Drosophila melanogaster: one gene and its partner. Each later gene encodes a partner of the first gene's protein in a complex. Each region holds a gene or a part of one and is shown in the gene's direction. Other genes may lie near its edges.

The links. Proteins that work in one complex are often made in the same cells at the same time.
Region 2: the proteins of ND-B16.6 (region 1) and ND-15 are in contact, whole or in part, in a cryo-EM structure (PDB 8ESZ), measured with the Drosophila melanogaster proteins. Residues at the interface, in NP_001284943.1 of Drosophila melanogaster: Leu79, Glu82, Arg83, Glu86, Phe87, Gln90, Arg93, Glu97, Glu98, Leu101, Met102, Asn104, Val105, Trp108, Gly111, Thr112, Trp113, Glu116, Pro117, Val118, Phe119, Lys120, Thr121, Leu122, Thr129, Pro130, Ile131, Phe132, Lys133, Glu134; in NP_001162841.1 of Drosophila melanogaster: Phe30, Lys33, Asp52, Leu53, Ser55, Asp56, Glu59, Cys60, Met63, Lys65, Gln66, Leu67, Met68, Arg69, Phe70, Ala72, Met73, Arg74, Glu76, Arg77, Gln80, Glu85, Arg86, Phe92, Ala93, Asp94, Pro95, Pro96, Arg97, Val98.

The regions. Positions count from the first base shown.
Region 1 is NC_004354.4:6,347,161-6,353,002, reverse strand, and holds ND-B16.6 (NADH dehydrogenase (ubiquinone) B16.6 subunit), read left to right. Parts: upstream 1-2,601; 5' UTR 2,602-2,710; intron 2,711-2,764; 5' UTR 2,765-2,775; coding exon 2,776-2,881; intron 2,882-2,948; coding exon 2,949-3,307; 3' UTR 3,308-3,987; downstream 3,988-5,842. Other genes in the region: kdn (knockdown), read right to left, coding at 2,049-2,267; CG3847 (uncharacterized protein), read right to left, coding at 4,356-5,498.
Region 2 is NT_033779.5:111,995-119,010, forward strand, and holds the start of ND-15 (NADH dehydrogenase (ubiquinone) 15 kDa subunit), read left to right. Parts: upstream 1-2,731; 5' UTR 2,732-2,997; intron 2,998-3,370; exon of another isoform or gene 3,371-3,718; coding exon of another isoform or gene 3,719-4,123; exon of another isoform or gene 4,124-4,494; intron 4,495-4,975; exon of another isoform or gene 4,976-5,336; coding exon of another isoform or gene 5,337-5,765; intron 5,766-5,825; coding exon of another isoform or gene 5,826-6,082; intron 6,083-6,141; coding exon of another isoform or gene 6,142-6,310; intron 6,311-6,366; coding exon of another isoform or gene 6,367-6,880; intron 6,881-6,936; coding exon of another isoform or gene 6,937-7,016. Other genes in the region: Sam-S (S-adenosylmethionine synthetase), read left to right, coding at 696-1,375, 1,440-1,548; CG13694 (uncharacterized protein), read right to left, coding at 3,719-4,123; CG4822 (uncharacterized protein), read right to left, coding at 5,337-5,765, 5,826-6,082, 6,142-6,310, 6,367-6,880, 6,937-7,016.

The DNA.
Region 1 (5,842 bases):
AAATTTAAAGCGGGCGGCCCAAAAAGAGACAAAGTTCGTTAAACCCACAAAGAATATAGAGATTTTTATTTATAGGCATTCCGATGTTGCCAAAAAAAAAAAGAAATGGGCGAATTTCATTTGGCGATTATGTAATGTATTAGAAGACACACATACACACAGGCACACACATACGTACGTACATGCATACACGTTAGCACTTATCATTCGCCAACAACAATGAAGAGAATAAAGTTCTTAATCGCAAGCACATGTCTGGAAATTCTTTTTTTTTCAATTCCAGCGTGACGTGTGTTGAAGAAGAAGAAGAGGATGGGAAAAGAGGAGTAGGATCAGATGAGGGATGGGTTGAGGAAGAGCGAAAGGGAGGGGAGAGGACGAAGGTTTTAACAACAGAAGCGACACACTTTACGGTTAGCTAACTGGAAGGAGGTGGATAGAGATCCCAGGAAAGCATGGGAATTCGATACACTGGTCGAAAAGCAAAGGGGTAATTCGAAAAGTTAAAATGAAGAACTCACCTGTGCCTCGGACAATTTCCGTGCGGAAATGCGATAGAGCGACATGGCAATGCGATTACGTACGGCTGCGAGTAGAAGAAAAACACTTTCGCCTTGGCTAGAAAAAAACACACACACAGAAAAAAATTTGCTTTCCTTTTTCTGGAAGTGAAGTGTTCTTTTCGTGGGTCTCTCGTCTAGCAGCTGCGCGGCAACTGAATGGCGCCAATCGCATTTTCTGCGGGAAGGGGCGGCACGAGCGCAAAGAACACCCGCTAATTCCCACGCAACGGCGTTTTCCGCTCTCCCCCAGAAAGGTCACACTTAAGGTGGGCTGCCTGCTCTGGTACTTGAAAAAAAACGCCCACGCAACTTATTTAATTGAAATAGATGTTATATGCTTTGGATGCATTTTTGCTCTACTAAGATCCATATAAATTGACATTTGCTCGAGTGCAGACTAGTTTTCAATTCCAATTTTAAAAAAGTCTATTAGCTATCCCAGTCGACACCCCCCATTTCCATGCATTTTAAACCGCTCCCTGACATTGTCTGTTTGCTATAGAGTATAAATACTGTCGTGTGAGGGAAATATCTTTTTATTGCGGGAAAATCAAACACCGACTTTTGTAAAAAATAATCATATTTCAACTGAAGTTTTATAATAAAGCTTTGCCGAAAAAGGCCACAGATCAATAAAAAGTTCGATATTCACGAAGACGTTTATCATCATAACTTTGTTAAAACTTGTCGTACAGTTTACAATTTAGTAGTTTTAATTACTTAGTTTTAGTAGTTTTTTTACTTTTAGTAGCGAATTCGCAGTGCTAGGATTCCTACCACTTTTTGAAGGATTTAGGGAAATTAATTTTTGGGTCAATTTTTTTTTTGTAAGGGGTAACATCATCAAAATTTGCAAAAATTGGCCAAAAAATAGAATTCCTATTTTTTGATACAGTTCGACAGGGAATTTAAATACGAGCTCGACGAGGTATTGCATTCCGTATTCAGACAATTATTTTTAAAGTTATGGCAAAAAAAAACTGATTCTTTTATGACGGAAAATCGAAAAAAATTATTTTTGCAAAAATTACAAAATTATAGATGGGCATTTTAATCATAACTTGACTAAAAGTGATCACAAAGCGAAAAGAATAACTGTTTTGAGCAGCTAATTGCGAAGGCTAACCATCCCAATCACTTTTTGACCGATTTGGAAAAACTAATTTTTTGGTAATTTTTCGCATTTTTTGTAAGGGGTAACATCATCAAAATTTGCGAAAAATGGTCAAAAAATAGAATTTCCATTTGTGGATACAGTTTGATAGGGAATTTAAATACGAGCTCAACGAGATATGGAACTCCATATTTGGACAAATATTTTTAAAGTTGTGGCCAAAAAACTGATTCATTTTTGAACGAAATTTGGAAAAACAGATCTTGGCAAATATTAAATAAAATTTGTTTATGGTCATATGGTCTTGGTCACCTTTCTCGCTGTTATGGAAAAATCAGATGAAGGGAGATTTATATTAAAAGAAAACTCACTTGGGCATCCTGCATATCAGGCATGTTCAAGGTTTCCGGAGTCGCCGATTGTTGCTGCTCCTTGAGATTGCCAGTCACGTTATCCTTTTTGGAACGCATTCGGAATGAACTTGGAGTCCCAATGGACTTCGAGTCCCACATAGAATTTTTAGCCAAATAACGTCGTTGAAAGGCAAAATGATGGCCCAAAGAGCCATTTCCGAAACGGCGTACGAACATTACTACTTTTAGCTGTAAATATATACGATATTTCGAAGTTTCTAGTTCGCTTTTTCTCTTGTTTTTGGGAATGTGAAAGCTAGTGATGTAGGATACAAAAATTTATTTTGACAGGAAAGCGATTGCGATAAATATAGGGATGGTATCAAACAGTTCGGAATACTGTATATACTGTAATACCGTATAAACGTTTGCACGTTCTACTGTGACTTGTTGTTGTGATTGTCTTTCGATAATAATATAATATAAATCAAATAAATTGACTCAACTTTTCACGTTAGAAAATATTTTTCAACTTCGTTTGCAGTATTCGCCACTTTTTGGTATATTTTCGTCACTACTTGGTATTTTACCCTGCCCCAAGTCAGGCCACACTGCCTTGGTGTTATGCAAAAAACGTCATTTTTTTGACAATTCAACAGATTTTTTCCCTTTATTCGAGCGTAAGTCCCAGTTTACCGGCCAAACAGCCGACTGATATATACTTTGTACCACAGGAGGAGTCACCATGGCGACGGCAGTGCCGCATTGTCCCCCGAAACAGGACCTTCCACCGCCGGGCGGCTACAAGAAGATACCCTTTGCCCGCGTGCCACCGAAGAGCTACTTCACAGGTGAGCTCCTCCAAATCCCATTGATCTAACCATATATGTGCTGGTAACTATATCAATCCCTCGGCAGGCTTCACCACCATCGGCACCTATGTGGTTGTGACAGCCGTTGGCCTGGGCATCTACTACTTGACCGCCAAGAAGGTGAAGCGCGACGAGATCGAGATGCGTTCCGCCCAGAATGTCATCTTTCCCATTTTGGTCGCCGAGCGGGATCGCGAATTCCTGCGCCAGTTGCGACGCAATCGGGACGAGGAGGCCGAGCTGATGAAGAACGTGCCCGGCTGGGAGGTGGGCACCTGGTATGGTGAGCCCGTTTTCAAGACCCTGCCCGAGGATACCCTGGTCACGCCCATTTTCAAGGAGTTCTACGCCCACTCCGACTGGAAGTCGTACGCCAAGCGTGCCCACTTGAAGCTCTGGTCCTAAATCGGCCTAGTTAATGGATTAGTTAATGCCTAAGCACGCACCTTTTTGTTTGTAGATCATCCGCCTAAGCGCCAAAAAAAGAAAGTATCGACCAATTATAATGTCAGATCAGATTGGCTGAAATACCGATTCTCTTTGTGTGTGTTTAATCCAAATCCTGTGCTGGACCACCCGAGGTAGCCAGAGATTTTTACCAAACCGGGGGCGTTGCCGTCCAGCTGCAATATAGCCCACGGGCAGTGCTCAAAAATGGCCAAATTAGATGGATTTGGTGGCACCAACAGCGGGGAATCCCAGTTGGCTGTGTCACCAAATTAAAATCTAATTGAAAATCTGCTGCTTAGTAAAAATAATAAATTCACAACATAAAACACTACGAAATGCTTATGATTCAATAGGGATTATTAAAATAGCAATGAAGAAATCTTGAGCCATTGAAAAACATTCTTGATTTATTTTATTTTTATTTTTTATTGAATTCAACATCGATTTGACGCTCGTTTTGTGTGTCAGTATTTGGAGTTTCGGGTTATTACACAATAGCGGGTGATCGTGAGCTCTAACATTAAGTAGTCGTAATTATAAGTAAGTAATATATATCTATACATGGGCCATGATCGACATCCGTCGACATGCTTTTATCTTCAATTGTAAACCGCAGAGTTGGCCTGAAATCATATAAAAAAAAAAACAACTGTGTGTGTGGATTTGTGTACAACTAGGTAAAAGATAAACCCTTTCCTTTGGAATCGCTTGACGACAGTGGCCCCCGTTGTGGCTCCCAAAAAATACAATATGGGTGTGGACTTATGTTTGCGTGTAGATAAACAGCAGCTGCTCCTTTCTCCTGGCCCGGGCGGCTAGTGTCCGAGTTTTGCATGGGCGAATCATTAGAAACTAGCTCGTGCTCCAGCTAATCCTACTGCTCCTAATCTACGTACTCCTGCTTGATAACAACGTAACGCACTGGCGGCGGCGATTTCTGCTCATCACGCTCCGGCTCCAGCTGCTGCCGACGCCGCCAGTGCTCATCACGTTGTGGCCGCCTCTACTTCATGTCCCTTCGACGCTTGATGCTGCCATCGCAGGTGGGCAGATGGCGCTGTAGGAAGCCCTCGAAAACGAACTTGCGGCCGCAACGTACGCAGCTGAACTCGCGCTTCTCCTCCACCTGCTGCTTGTGCTGCCGCAGTGCCTCCGCATTAGAGTACTTATCGCGGCAGGCGTCGCAGGCATAGCGTCTCTTCACCTGGCCAACATCGAAGACGACGGTGAAGTTCTGCGAGCAGAAGGCGCACTGGAACTCCTTGACGACCACCTTCTTGCCGCCGTGCTGGGCGGCCAGGGCCACCGCTTCGGCCTCGAGCTTGTCCTGGTGCTTGTGCGACTCCATGTGGGCGGTAAATTTGCTCTCCTCGACGAACTTGCGATAGCAGCGGGTGCAGCGGAAGGGCTGCTCGCCCGTGTGCCGCATCATATGCTCCTTGAGGTAGGCAACCGAGTTGAAGACCTTGCTGCACACTTTGCACTTGCGTTCATCGGTGGAGATCTCGTTCCTCTGCCGCAGGCAGGCGCGCATATGAAGCTTCAGGGAGCCGGCGGCGCTGTAGCAATTGCCGCAATTGGGACAGTAGAAGGTCTTGTTGCGACCATACGGATCTTGTTCGGCATGGTCGATGGTACTCTCGAACACAATAGAGCCCACCTCGTCATCTTCAACCTCCAATTCGCCGCCCTCGTGGTCGACGGTGACAAACTCATCGTCATGCTCTACCTCCTCGCCATCCTCGAGCTCTTCATCCTCCTCGACCTCCTCGCCATGAATATTGGGCACAATATGAAGGATGGTGTGTGTACCATCGCCCTGTTCGATGGTCTCCTCCTCGACGGTGCTGTTCTCGACCAGCTCCTGCAGGGTCACCGCGTGACCGTTCTCATCGATAATCACCTCCTCGGCATTGACCAGCGCCTCGTGGTCACGATCGCTGAGGGTCACCACCGCAGTTTCGGTGTCATCGTCGTCGCCGGTGGTATAGGCATACGTATATTGCGTCTCCTGGCCGTCATCTTCTTGAACGTGCTCCTCATCCTCCTCGGGCTCCTCCTCGGGATCAACCTCGGTATCTTGCTCGATAAGCACGGGCACGATCTCCTCCTTCACCATGGAATACTTCACGCGCTTGGCATTCATATCGAGTTGGCTTTGAATAAGTTTTGATCACTTACGACCTGTTTTGGCAAAATCTGAAGATCTGAAGATTTCACAGTAGCCTTTGATTTTCCTACTTTAACAATATGATTTTTTCCCGGCGACAACCCTGCTTTGCCTCTGCCTTTGCCTTTGCTTTTGCTTCTCCCTCTCGCACTCGGCTGACGCGCTGTCTCTTTCGCACGGCTGGAATTAATATTGAAATCAAATTCGAGCACCTTATGGCCCAGCTGGATTCGGTACTCAATCCCCGCCTGCTTTATTGCCAACTTCTTTTTGGCGGCCTTTCGCTCTGGGTTTTTTCCACAATAGTCAACACTATGCGT
Region 2 (7,016 bases), on another chromosome or scaffold:
GGAAGAGATCGGTGCCGGAGATCAGGTGTGATTTAGAAGCAGTAAAGAAGTAGCAGTCTCGGCAGGCCGGGATCGAAGGCCCTTTCCGAAGAGCAACGCATCTTTTTAATTTTTATTGATAGCAATTTAGTTGCGACTAAAATATTCATGGTGGTAGGGCGTTTATAAGCTCTTTGGAAGGGGTGTTGTCGCCACTTCTATAATTTCTGTTTATCGTTTCCTTTATATATTTTCGTAACTAATTGAAGTAGTGTATGACGACTTTATTGCTATTTAATTTTAAATTCATCTGTTTGCCACTATATCATAATAGCGCTGCAATATTGCTCCAACCGACCTACCAACCATATGATCGTCTTTTTTGTTAATTGAAGCTGCCAAATCCATATCATTTAACTTTTGACTTTTCAGTCGATACCATAATTAGAATAGCAGACACAAAACTAAGGCACACTACTGCATATATATACATCACTAACATAATTTTGTAAACAACTTTTTGACTCCTAAGTAGCAACAATTAATTCATACCCGAATCTATCACCCATGCTTGATTTACCCTTTCCTAACCCAAATGTGTTTTATTTATCTAACGCTACTGATTCTTTTTGGTTTTGGTTACTTTTAAGTGAATAATTAATGATTAATTAATTAGTGATAGAGATTATTAATGAAGCGAAATAAACTTTTTGCAGGGTATCATGTTTGGATATGCCACCGACGAAACCGAGGAATGTATGCCCCTAACCGTCGTTTTGGCTCACAAACTAAACGAAAAGATTGCTGAGCTGCGTCGCTCAGATGTGTTCTGGTGGGCTCGCCCCGATTCCAAAACACAAGTAACCTGCGAGTACCTCTTCAATCAGGGATCAGCAGTTCCCAAGCGTGTCCACACTATTGTAGTGTCCATGCAGCATTCTGAAAAGATATCGTTAGAAACCCTGCGCTCGGAAGTAATGGAGAAAGTTGTTAAAGTAGTCATTCCCGCCAAATACATTGATGCCAACACCATTGTCCACATCAATCCTTGTGGGCTTTTTGTAATCGGTGGACCAATGGGTGACGCTGGGCTTACAGGAAGAAAAATCATTGTAGATACTTACGGAGGCTGGGGCGCCCACGGCGGCGGTGCATTCTCTGGCAAGGACTTCACCAAGGTTGACAGATCAGCTGCATATGCAGCACGCTGGGTGGCCAAATCACTGGTTAAGGCCGGTCTCTGCAAGCGCTGCCTTGTCCAAGTGTCCTACGCCATAGGTCTTGCTGAGCCTCTCTCCATAACTGTGTTCGACTACGGAACTTCTCACAAGTCACAAAAAGAACTTCTGGATATCATCCGTCGAAACTTTGACCTCAGGCCCGGCAAGATTGTCAAGTAAGTGTCAAACTCTAGATGCTAAAAAATATTTCATAACAATTGTCTATATTTTTGTTTTAAGGGACCTAAACCTGCGCCAGCCGATATACCAGCGAACAAGCACTTATGGACACTTCGGTCGCGCGGGCTTCTCGTGGGAGGAGGCCAAGCCTCTGGAGATTGACAACTGACTAGACGCTGAAGCGTTGCAACCGCAGTCACCATATGCTAAAAGGTCGAAGCTATCCTTATATTCATCAGCGTCAAAATTAACAGATACCCAAGCACCAACGTAATTTTTAGTGTCGTTTTTAAAGCCTAAAGTCAGAGGAGAAGGCGGCATAGGCTTGCCAACTCTTATGGGCTTTCTTCTCTAACTTATGCTGTGCTCTTCGCTATATAATTTAAACCATTCTGATGTGTGTAGTCTTCTCACACGGAACTAGTTTTAGTCGTCTTAATACCCGCATATATACCTAATAGAGAGCTCCAAAAGAATTGATGAGCTTTAGTTATGCATATACATAGTATAGTGTCGGTCAGTTCAGTAAAAATTAAAGCAGTAGTTAGTACCTCCTTCAATTATCATGCAACTTAATTATGTTGGTGTCTATGGAAATTGTATAAAACAATTAAATCCGTTGCCTAGAAATTATGCAACATTCTCATGTCCCCATTGTAAACTTATTTTTGTCTCTTTTAACATTTCTATTTGTTGTATGCGTTGTATATGTTAAACCTAAAGTTTTAAACAACTCGATTGTATGTACATTACACTCTGTCTTTGTATTTTCTGTAACCAACCATAAGATAATGTATTTTCCTTTACAAAAATATATTAAAGATAAATATGAAAAGTATAATTTTACCGGTATGCGCAGAATGAAGACTTTAATCGTACAAACAACAGAATTTGCAATGTCTTTACAACCAAATAAAGTCATCATAACCCTGGTTTTTCACAAAAACATAATGAGACAGCGCCCATAAAAAATTACAAATATTTGTGTACAAGAAACCCAATTTTCTTTAAAAGAAATCATTTTTCATATGAATATTGCAATAAATTTCATGACAGTTTATTTTTAGTTATTGTATTGTTTCGCCTACTATATGGGATATTTGCAACAATATTAATATTTATTTTTCTGAAATTCGGTAATTTATAGAAATGTGTAAAGATTTTAGTAATTCAAAATTTGAATTTAACAGTCTTATCCAGACGCCAAGATCCAGGGAATGCAATCGATATATCGATATGTCACAATCAACAGTTATTCGCGCAGCCATTGTGATTAATTCTTTAACGGTTTGCGTATTGGTTTTTGCGCAGAGCTAAGCAATGTAAATTCACAAATCTGACGGAGTTCCCAGCTGCCGGACTTAGTGTAGTGAAATTAATAGTAGAAGTAGTTTTATTAGTGTCCCAAGTGTTATTCTCAGCGGTCTTGCAAAAACAACAGGTCACTCCTGTGCGCTATTTAACCAACGCAATTGATCTGCATGTCGAAGATTTGTACGCGATCGCAGGCAAGAGAGGCTGGTAAAGATTCCGTTGTTTAAATTAATTCCCATGATTGCATTTAGTATGACGCCCTATAAGCTGTACCAACAGCGCGGAATGCTGCATTCGTTAAAAGGTAAATGATTGAAATTGTTTGTTTCTTTAAATATATTTATATGCATATGTTTGTGTGAATGTGAGCTTGCGAGCTACATATTTATATACGTACATATGTACATATGTACCAATCAAAGTCGCAAAAATTGGTGTTTAAAATTTTGATTGCAAAAGGTTACGATCTTCATATCATTTTTAAGCATGCGTTTTGGTTACCGTCAGATTCAGGATACAGTTAAGATAACATACAAACTGTATATGTATGTACATAAATGACATACACATGTAGGTTTTAAGTCGCGCAAGTACAGTTTCAGTATACAGTTATAATAACATTAGAACTGTATACATATGTACAATAATGACATGTAAACATGAAAACGAACATACATACGTTAAAAGGAATTGTATCTCGGACACATTTTATTTTGTTTGAATTACATTTGGAGCCGTACAATCTTATTTATGTAGGTAATACAATTTTCCTTGATAGTTGTTATATCTGTTGTCAAGCTGATGTCCTATAAGAGAGCCTTTACTGTCACACTGGTCCAAGCTGGTAGGAGAATCATCCCATTCAAATTCATCCATATTTGTGTCCTCATCGCTTTTCGAATCTTCATTATCCAGGGAGGGAATGAAGAATTTTGAGCTTTATGTTTTGAAATGCTATTTCGAGTTTTTTGGTCATGAATGTGACTCTTTGATTGAGCAAAACCACTCTAAATGAATCATTTTGTTTAGCAGCCACCATCATGTTGGTATTGAAAGATGGGGACCACATAGCCATGACCTTGTCTTCTTAGATCGTTGGCACAACGTACTTGATTGTGGAACTCGCAGAGCGTGGCAAATGTCATATTGCGGCCATTGCGGAGAATGCAGACAGGCCGGTAGTACCGGGGACAGCTGCGCTCGCACGGATCCTCATCCCGGTCCAAGCCGGCGGCAGTAGCCCTGCCATCATCCTCTTCATATTCATTATCGTTTGAATTCTCATCACCGTCGAAATTTTGATCATAATCTAGAGCTGTGTAGTAGTTATAGCTTCCCAAGTCTCTGTTGCTGTGATGGTCTTGCCAGCTCCATTCCTCCACAATGGTGTGCTCCGTTTGCACCTGTACTGCGAATGACAGGTGGAGCATGGCCAAAACAAGTGCTATGAATGCGTAAAACATACTGCTTTGGCTCCTATCGATCAACTGTATTCACGGCAGTCCAGTTTCCTTGCCTCTTAAATAGACAACTGTGCGCCAATCCACAGCGACGGCAGTTGTTCAAATAATTTCCATAATTAACTTTGTCGGTTTTTATTGTGACGGCTCATATCACAATTGATAGAGCTACCAAATAATTTGAATACTTTAAAGTGAATCAAGGGAACAGGCGAAGTCATACTTTGCCGTTCTGACTTAAAATTAGTCTAAAGGCAGATAGAGTTTGGTAACGAACGGCGCAGATCTTTAACTCAATCCTAAATTCTAATCTTGGGCAAGACTTGATTCTAACTCTTATGCAATTTGAAGCATATCTACATCTATATATTTTTATACCCGTGACTCGTAGAGTAAAAGGGTGTGCTACATTCGTTGAAAAGTATGTAAGAGGCAGAAGGAAACGTTTCCGACTGTATAAAGTATACATATTCTTGATCAGGATCAATAACCGAGTCGATCTAGACATGTCCGTTTGAACGTCGAGGAACTATAAAAGCTAGAACGTTGAGATTCAGCACACAGATTCTAGAGACAGATATTTGTTGACCTTTGTTACCACGCCCACTCAAAAATTTTACACAATTTTAAAAAATGTGTTGAAATTTTTTCATTTTTGATTAGTCTTGTAAAAATCGATAGATCGATTTTCTAAAAAACTTTTTGCAACTCCCTAAAACCGCCCAAAACAGCCACACCCAGAAAAATTATGAAATTTCGCGTCCGCATTTACACTAGCTGAGTAAGGGGTATCTGATATTCGGGGAACTCGACTATAGTATTCTCTCTTGTTTATATTTAATATTTCCATGATATACATATAAACTTACGCCATCGCATAAAAAAGTAAACCCACTAATATTTTTTACATATTTGGTGAAAACAATTTTATGCGTACTTAATAATTTATTCGTAGTGTTTCTTCTGCCTTGTTAACAATATGATCGAATTATAGTAATTTATTGTTCCCTTGATTATATTTGTATTCTTGATCATAAACTTTTATTCAGAATCCAATATCACTTTGATAGTTTATTAATATTATTGAAGCCCATAAATAATATGGGAGGTTAAGACTGTCCCCTGAAATACCGCTTAAAATAATTTTTCTAGCACCGAGGTCAAACCGCCCATGTTGTTAATGTTAGTAATTGTACGAAGTAAAGTTAAAATATTTCGTTAACAGCTGTATGACATATGCAAAAATGGGGCTGACCTCGGAGTGTTTCAGTCGCAGTCTAATCATAAAGTATGCTGCTACGGTGAACAGCAAATAAAAACTCATCAAGCAAGATAGAGACCACAAATAGTGCATGTTTTCGAATCCTAAAAAGGCTAACAAAACTTTCGACTTTTTAAATGAGCAAAAGATTTCCGTGTCTTCGCAAATTGTGTCGGCGCGTCCGTAGTCGTACAAGGATGCGACTAGGCCTTCCATACTATGGCGAAGGTAGCTAAGATGCATGAGAAACCTCATAAGAGGGGATATGTATGTTCCTCCGCCATACCCAATGCCGTAAATGGAAAGCAGGATCAGCGGCACGGCGAGAACTGGCCCCATGAACATTGCATTCTAAAGTATAAGTGAACTAATCAGGATATATTAAAAATAAATGTGCGCCAAATCGCTTACCACTAAGCTCAGTCTACTGGAGATCAACAAGCCAAAACTGTCGGAAGTTAGGGCCGTTACGAAAGCTATTGTAAATAGCATGGCAAAGCGGAACCATTCAAGTGGTTGGCTGGACATTAAGTACACAATGGATAGATAAATAACGGCCAAAATAAACATAGATGGTAGCTTTGAGGTAACCATTGCTGCGTAGTAGGAGCTCAGACGGTACCACTGGTTGTTGTACTCCCTTTTTAACAGATTGATTTCCGTGGGAACTTAAATGTAGGTATTTATTATTAAGAATTACTGCTTGAGGTTAAAATATAGTACTTACAATATAAGAGCACAGGCATCATAGGAAGGTAGAGGTATGCTATCACAATGGTGAACATGAAACCGAAGTTAAAAAGCGCTTTAGAGGCCGAGGTTCCCATACCAAAGTAGAGCGAACCCACCAGTAAAGCAAGAACGATGTTCATGTAGAACTTAAGCTTGATGTACGACTACGGAAAAAATAAAATTACATTGCCTTTCTACGTCGTTTTCTAAGTGCACTCACCTTATCTCTCCACATTTGGATTAGCATACGCACAAGCAATAGCTTGTACTGTAGCCACCAGCTACATTTGGCCTCCAAAAGTTTTGGGCTAATCTCTTCGTCAAACTGATCCCTTTCGTAAAACGACGATGCCCCCGATGTGGTGTCGGTTTTGGTTGTTGTTGTTTCACCTTCCACTGCTGGAGGACTCCATCGCGCAACTTTGCCGTTGCCCACGGCTTCTACCATTGGCTCGTGATAGGACCCGCCATACTCAAGGCAAGCAACTTCGATAATGAAGTCAGCCGGGTTGTAGGTTATTGGACAACAAAGCCCAAAGTTCTTCAAGAAAGGTACAATGTTGGACCCCTTTCCTTGGTAGACGCACTGGCCTTCGGCTAGAACGTAGACTGCATCGAGCATCTCGAAGATCTTGGCAGATGGCGTATGGATGGAGCAGATCACAGTGCGCCCCCCGGCGGCCAAAACTTTGAGTAGGGCAATGCATTGTGAACTCGATAAATCGTCTAAACCACTGTTGAGTTGGTGGTAACATTAGTTCTTCGACTTCAATATTTATCTTATACTCACGTTGTAGGTTCATCTAGAAAGATGACAGGTGGGTTGTTGACCAGCTCAAGGGCAATGCATAAACGCTTTCGCTCACCCCC